Diceros bicornis minor: one gene and its partner. The protein of the gene in region 1 purifies or fractionates together with the protein of each later gene. This does not show direct contact. Links are inferred from orthologs where the notes say so. Each region holds a gene or a part of one and is shown in the gene's direction. Other genes may lie near its edges.

Region 1 (3,750 bases):
TTGCTCTCTGGTAATCCACAAAGATCACACAAAAGTGTATCTGTCTCTTTAGGAAACTGTAAGATCTTCAAGAGCAGGAGCTGATTCTTCTTTTAATTCTTCTTTCCTTTCTCCTCCTACTTTCAGACATCAGCACAATACTTAGAAGATACAGGCATTGAAATTTACTTGAAGTACCTAATTCAGGAATTAGACTAACACGATGCTCTACATTCATGATGAGAAAACAGCAAATTTTTATTTACAAATTTTCATAATTTATTGTGTAAAACATACATAAAATTTACTATTTTACCTATTTTAAGTGTACAGGTCAGTAGCCTTAAGTACATTCACACTGTCATGAAACCATCACCATCATCCATCTCTAGAACTTTTGCATCTTCCCAGACTGAAACTCCAAACCCATTAAACAATTGTTGGTATCTTTTGCCTTGTTTTTTCCAATGGGATTTTTTTTCCTATTGATTTGTATATGTTCATTTTAAATTAGGGATACCAACCATTTGTCTTCTACTAACTTGTTTTTTTTAAAAACTCTATTTGTCGTGATTTTTAAAAATCTGTTCAGAAAATTTTAAATTCTTCATGGAATCATAAAACTATGGTTAGAATTATATTAGCAAATCCATGAATATTTTCCTTTACAATTTCTTTGTTGCCATCCTTGAAGGCCTTCACCATTTCAATGTTATGAATATATTCACTTATTTTCTTCTCAAGTGTTAACATTTAAATATTTAATCCATATAGGATTTACTTAGATGTATTTTTTTTCCTAAATGGCTAATCAGCTGTTCCAACATCATTTACTGGATAATCCATCTTTCCCCTACTGATTTAAAATGTCTTTTCATACAAAATTTCTCCACTTCCTGGTATTTCTTCCTAGATCTTCCCTCTAGTCCTTTTAGAGTATAACAGTCTTAATTACTGTCCTGTTATACTCTACTCTCTAGTAATTTAATTCCTCCTCACTTTATGGTCATTTTAATGGTTGTATGATATTCTATCACACTTGCACCATAATTTTTTTACACCAATCCCCTACTACTAGGCATTTGGTAAGTATCTTATTTTTCCATACTATACAACGTGTAGTTTTGGACAATTAAATGAATTCTCTGCCTCGGTGGCTCAAGTCGCACACATTATCCGTTTACCCTTTTCTTTGAATCATTTAAAAAATTACAACCAATATGCTTTATTGGTCTCAATGATGGGATAACTGGCCATGAATCTATTGGCTAGGGTTTAGGATTACTCGGGCGAGACCTCCGAGCGACACCAGGGGGCGCAGTTTCCCAGGTTCGCATCAATCACATCCGGGTTCCACCGTAGGTTCGGGCAGAGGGCAGGCGGAACCTTTCTGTCGCGCCTTCAATTAACCTGCACGGCGGGGAGCAGTTAGGCCTCGACGCACCGCTGTCCAAGGGCGGTGCAGTTTGCTTGGGGCAGCGAAAGCCTGCGTGGGGGTTCTGTTTGCTTCTTCCTTCGTCGTGAGCAGCATGGACGTCCTGGCGGAGGAGTTTGGGAACCTGACCCCGGAGCAGCTGGCGGCGCCGATCCCGACTGTAGAGGTGAGGGCACGGCGCGCGGGTAGCCGAAGGGGCCGGCACGATCCCCTGGAGGCGTTGCCCCGAGAGCTCTCGGCGCGGAGGGCTGCGGGCCGGGGCTTGTGCGCATGCTTAGTACTCCGCGCAAGCGCAGGCCGCCACGTGGGGGGGGGGGGCCTCCTTTCCGTAGCCGGCCGCCGCGTGCGCCAGCGTTGACGAGCTGTCAGCCGCCATGGGGGCCGAGCGGCCCCTCGGGCGCCTTTAGGGTTGGACCCTGTCCAGTGTTCTTGTGTGTCGGGGGAGGGCTGGCTCTCGCCCACCTTGGGGGACGTATTGCATCTTCGCGGGCTTGGAGAGGACAGTGAGGTCCAGGGAGCCTGGGCCACTGTGGTGAGGTCCTGCAGCTGGCTGTGGTGGCAAAACCAAGTCGTCTGAATCGCAGACTAGTTTTCCTTCCTTTTAACCTGGAGTTCAAGTTTGGGCTGCAGGAGTATTTTAAACTCCCCCAACATCTACTCAAAATTTTTCCTAGGTGTTTTCTGGGGAGCAGCCCCATAGCTTGCACCAGATTATCAGAAATTAAGGATAACTGCCTTACAGTGAGCTACCTGATAAAGTTCAGCTGTTGACAGGTTGTATGAAAGGCTCATATAATCTCTCTGGGCCTCAAAATCTTCATTGGCGTGGAATGAGGACCTGGAGAAATGAGGCTTGAGATAGGCGAGAGATTTCAGGTAGAGGGAACAGGATTCTTTGAAACCCCGTTGGCAAGACCGTCTGATGTTTTTGAGGAGCTAAAATGCAGTAGGAGTGGAGAAGGGTAAAGGAGAGATGAAAGATGAAGGGTAGGTAAGAGTCCTGATCATGAAAGGTTTTGTTAGACATCTGAAGGAACAGTGAGATGCTATTGAAGGGTTTAAGCGGGAGAGTGACATGATCCCTGAGTCTATTGGATTATAAGAACCTCTTTATAATCATTTGGCAGATGAATAAAGTCACATTATAATCAGTCCATCAGATTCGATCTGTGAGTACTTGCAATACACTGCTGATCATCATGAGGCAACACTGGATTTTTAACTCTTGAAGAGTTAATGTTAAGAGCACTTACTATGAGGCAGGCTCTGTTTAAGCCTAACAGGCATTTCGTTATCTAATTCTCTGAAGTAAGGACTGTTTTCACCACATTTTGCCAATGAAGGGTTTTGAGGCCCAGAAAGGCTAAGTAACTAACCCAGTGTCAGAAGGCTGGTAAGTGGCTGATCTGGAATTTGGGCTCTGGTAGTCTGACTCCAGAGTCTTCATCCTTAACTGCTGACTGGACTCCTTCTCCAGAGAGCTGAAGGAATAAGCCTAAAGGATTTATATTTCCTGCCTGAATTTGCACAGCTATGAAGGGACCAAAATCACAGTTCCAGCCTTCTGATTCAGGAATAACAGTTCCTCTTCCTGGCCTTCTCCATCCAGTCCACCATCCCATCTTAAGGGTCCCGCCTGCAAAATCTACTCAAGTCTGAAGCTTCATTCCTGCTATTCTGCAAGTCTGAACCACAGTCATCTCTTGCCTCCTAGGCTCCTGACTTGTCCCACTCCAGTCTGTTCTCTCCTCTCAGCCATCACTTTAAACATACAACACACAAATATGATCATGTTGTTCCCTTGGTTAAAATTCTTCAGTCTCTGCCTGTTGCTCTTAGGACAAAATCTAAAGTCTGTACCATGTTAATAAGGCTTTTCTCATTCTGGCCACTGCTTACTTCTCCAGCCTTTTTCCATCCCCCACCCACCCCTAAGATCTTTCTACTCTTCTCGTATAGTTCCTTCTGATCTTTCTTTCATTCCTCTTTGTAGACTTACATACAGTAAAATGCATAAATACTAAGTGTTCCGTTACATTAGTTTTGACAGCTATGTATACCCAAATAGCTACCAACCAATACAAGGTATAGACCATTTCCATCACCCCAGAAAGTTCCTCTTTCAGTCTATCCCCACCACTTTTTGATTTCTATCATCTTAGATTCGTTTTGCCTGACTATCTTCTTTTTTTTTTTAAAGCCTTAATTTTTTTAGAGCTTTTTAGGTTCACAGCAAAATTGAGAGGAAGGTACAGAGATTTCTCATATATTTCGTCACCTCACTTTACACTTGAAAAATGTTTTTACTTTCTCCAGGTTGTCTGCCTCCCTCCCTG
Region 2 (3,750 bases), on another chromosome or scaffold:
TGGGAAGCAGCCTCAGCGTGGCTGGAGAAGTGGTGCGTCGGTGCGCGCCAGGGATCCAAACCAGGCTGCCAGTAGCCGAGTGTGCGCACCCAACCACTAAGCCAGGGGGCCGGCCCTGCCAGAATCATCTTGATACCCTAACTGGGAAGTCAGAATCCAGGACAGCTTCCAATGATTAAAGTTACACTTTCTGGATCACTCCATTATCTTTCTCTCATGATAACAATGGTTTTATCTAACACTGCTTGTAGGGAAGCTTATTTTGACTCTTCTATTGGATTACCTCTTTTCTTTGGTTGAGAGGAGAAGTATGTTGTGAGAGAGCTGATGGTCCAAATATTTATGCTCTATATTAGCCTGTCTGTGGAGGAAGAAGCAGGAAATTCCGGTGTGTTTCCCTGGAAATTTAAAAAATTGGCAGCTAGGAAGACTGGGAATATCAAGTTAAATCTCACAAGTTGGTCTGTGGAGGTGCAACCAGCTGGAACTCCTTCTGAAAGTGACAGGTTAAGCTCAAAGTTCTCAAGTTGCTGGATGCAAGATGGGAAAGCAGTATAGCCTGCTTAGTGAGAAAGCAAAGATGTAGTGCATGTTGGGGAGAAAGAAATCTGCTTCTCCGATTAACTATAATAGTTGTTAACGACTGGTTATTTTCTAAATTTTAATAACTTCATTTTCTTCTTCCTCCTTCTGTTGTAAGTAAAATACTACTGTGAAAGAAGCAAATGAATGTAAATGTTGTAAAACCAACTGACATTAATCTCACTGAAATTTTGATCTTTGAAAGAACCCAACCTTACATGGCAGGTTACTTTGTTGTTCTGGAGGACAATACATGTGACGGAAGGAGCGTCAGTGGATAGCCACCGCTACCAAAATCCCTCAGCTGTAGGTGGGAGTAATTGACGTAGCTGCCCTCACGCCCGCCTTTGCTTTAAAATGAGTGAAAGGAGTGGGTGAGAGGGATGACAGGAGCCTAGAACAGAAAGGGTCGAAAAGCAAAAACGAAATTATGTGAAGGATAGGAGGCGTCTGCTCCACCGCCCCAGCACAGATATCAAACCGTTCGAAAAACATAATCTGAAAAGTGTTTTTCCACGTGAAAAATCAGCAGTGAAGTCGATTCTCCCACGTTCCTCGGAATAATGGTTAGCCTAGGATTCCACGGGCACTTGTCATTTTGGTTTCTCTTCTAACCCCCCGCCCTTCTGGAAAAGTGTTACTTTCTACAGACTACATTAGTCAGGAAAACGAACTTCCTTTGACTTGAGGAACTGTTAAAATGCTTTGACGTGCTGAAAAATGAAAATAGCTGTAACGCTAACATGCACTATTGCCCGCTAAGCCTAATATGCAAAACGCCCGGCTTGACCGCCTGTATTCAATCCGGGTTCTTCGGCTACGCCCAGGGCGGAAGGGGCGGAGACTCCACTCCGCGTCATACACCAACGCCGGAAGTTGGCTGAGACGGAGCGACGAGCCGGAATCTGTGTGGAACCGTAGGGTGAGAACGTTCTCCTTGCTAGGTGGGTAGGGAATTGGCGGGTTGGGATTTTGGGCCAAAACTGGCAAGATACTCGGGTTAAACAGGTCTGGTGTGGATTTAGAGTTGGGAGAGGCTGGGGATAGAGTCAATGCTTTAGTCCTTTGCCTGGTTTCTTTCAGTTGAGCTGTTTGGCTATTGGGGGTTGTTTCATTATCCTTCCCTTATCTTCGGTTCGCTTGTTCCCCTGTTGAGGGGTATTATTTTTGTGGCCATCTCCTGCTAAAGTCGATCTGAATCTTTCTGCCTCTTAATAGCTGAATAATCCTGTGCAAATTAACTTTTCTAAGCCTCGGTTTCTTCATCTGTAAAAGGAGAGTAATACCTCCTAGGAGTGTTGTAAAGATTGTAGTGAAATGACGTATAAATGAAATAACACGTATAATGTATTTACTTTTGTGTCCAGTTTGGGGGTAATTGCGCAATATGTTGTTTTTTTGTTTCGTGCTTTACACCTCATAGGGTTTGAAAAAGTACAGATTAGGAATTGGGACGTTTTTAGCTTTCAGAGAAAAATGAGGGCTGGTTGGATTTGTGAAGAGCCCCTTTGAGATATTCAGTATTTAAGTCTGTGATTTCAGGGACTAACAATGGACACCCAGAAGGACGTTCAACCCCCAAAGCAGCAGCCAATGATATATATCTGTGGAGGTAAGAGTAGCACTTACATAAAGTAAGGGTATTTTATTTCAGTTTTTTGAAATTTCTACTTTTATCTTTGGCTTAAATGCGTCGCTCAAGTTTAAAGTTATAAAGCAGAATACTTTAGCAACCGTAAAAAAATCCTCTCATTAAGATTTCTGTCCTGAAAAAGTGCATTGCACCACATCTTTTTTTCTTTCCCCATTAATATATTGGTGATAGCAACATTCCCTTGAGATGGAGTATATTTTGGTGTTCTGGGTGAAAAATATGGTTAAGATAATTTGTTTGTCTGTAATATTTCCCTTTAGACATTGAATAAATGTGTTTTCTTTTCTAGAATGTCACACAGAAAATGAAATAAAATCCAGAGATCCAATCAGATGCAGAGAATGTGGATACAGAATAATGTATAAGAAAAGGACTAAAAGATGTATCCTTTTAACTATGCTTTCTAAATATGAGATGGGAGGAAGTGAAGAGTAATGCTTGGGTTGCGAGTCAAAGACTAATTTCTGGTAAAATGGTAATAACTTTTGGATTACTTACCAAAAAAGGCATGATTAGCATTTTCATGGACCAGTATGCCAATGTATAGGCATATACTAAATAATCTAAATACTAGTTGATTTTGGTTCTCTTAAGTCTGTTTTTCAGGGATTCTCTATTTCACAAAGTACTCATTCTTGAGCTTGAGTTTATGAACAAACTAAATTATACAAGGAGAAATCACAATATTGTGTATGTATGCTACCTGATGGAAAAAGTGAAGCTTACAAATTAGCTGAAAGAGAGTAAATTGTTATGTGGTAACTAACAATGTTTTTTAAATCAATAAGTTATCACCTTTAACATTGCTTCAGTGTTTTTTGGTGCTTTGGTCTTTTGCACTTTGGAAAGGGGACTAATAAAAATAGAAATAGTTTTTTTAGTTCATTTCCACTTGTCATAGTAAATAGTGAATTCCATTTTTTTGTGCATTTTAGATTAAATAACAAACAAGCTTATTGCAAAGAGAAAGTGACTTGGAAGTGTTAGATCAATTTTTAAATACTTTTTTTGTCCTTAACTCAGTTTAATACAGTGGTGGTTTTTGATGCTCGATGAGACATGGAATTCAGAAGAATATCTTCATTTGTATTTGGATTTGCTGTTAATGTTGTTGTATAGCTTTTGATTAGTATACTTTTCTTTATGAAGACAACTGTATACACATGATTTCATTTTAAAACCATATTGTATTTAGTATCTATTAATAGTTTATATAAATAAATTACTTCTGTTCGATTACATGATTTACAATTTAATTTTATTGTGTATGTAATCTGACGCACAATGGAGGTTAAAAGTGCTTCCCCAAATTGCACTTTCAATCAAAACTTAGAATCATCTGGGGCCCTTGTTAAAAATGAAGTTTTCTACGGCCCTCTAAAGGTGTGATTAAGTTCGTTCCTTGGAAACCACTGTTTAACATCACCAACTGTTTGTTAACCTTCTTGCATCATTTTGTTTTAGAGTGTATCAATGCACTTACTGTCAGTGTGCATACCTCATTTTGAGTTATA

The links. Proteins that work in one complex are often made in the same cells at the same time.
Region 2: the proteins of POLR3B (region 1) and POLR2K purify together in Homo sapiens (affinity purification with mass spectrometry; 3 studies listed by BioGRID and IntAct, with this or other methods). This does not show direct contact. The link is inferred for Diceros bicornis minor from reciprocal best matches to the Homo sapiens genes POLR3B and POLR2K.

What each region holds. Positions count from the first base shown.
Region 1 is NC_080764.1:17,802,305-17,806,054, reverse strand, and holds the start of POLR3B (DNA-directed RNA polymerase III subunit RPC2), read left to right. Parts: upstream 1-1,356; 5' UTR 1,357-1,508; coding exon 1,509-1,580; intron 1,581-3,750. UniProt on the Homo sapiens protein: Catalytic core component of RNA polymerase III (Pol III), a DNA-dependent RNA polymerase which synthesizes small non-coding RNAs using the four ribonucleoside triphosphates as substrates.
Region 2 is NC_080760.1:18,723,425-18,727,174, forward strand, and holds POLR2K (DNA-directed RNA polymerases I, II, and III subunit RPABC4), read left to right. Parts: upstream 1-1,451; 5' UTR 1,452-1,526; intron 1,527-2,124; 5' UTR 2,125-2,133; coding exon 2,134-2,194; intron 2,195-2,525; coding exon 2,526-2,618; intron 2,619-3,269; coding exon 3,270-3,292; 3' UTR 3,293-3,480; downstream 3,481-3,750. UniProt on the Homo sapiens protein: DNA-dependent RNA polymerase catalyzes the transcription of DNA into RNA using the four ribonucleoside triphosphates as substrates.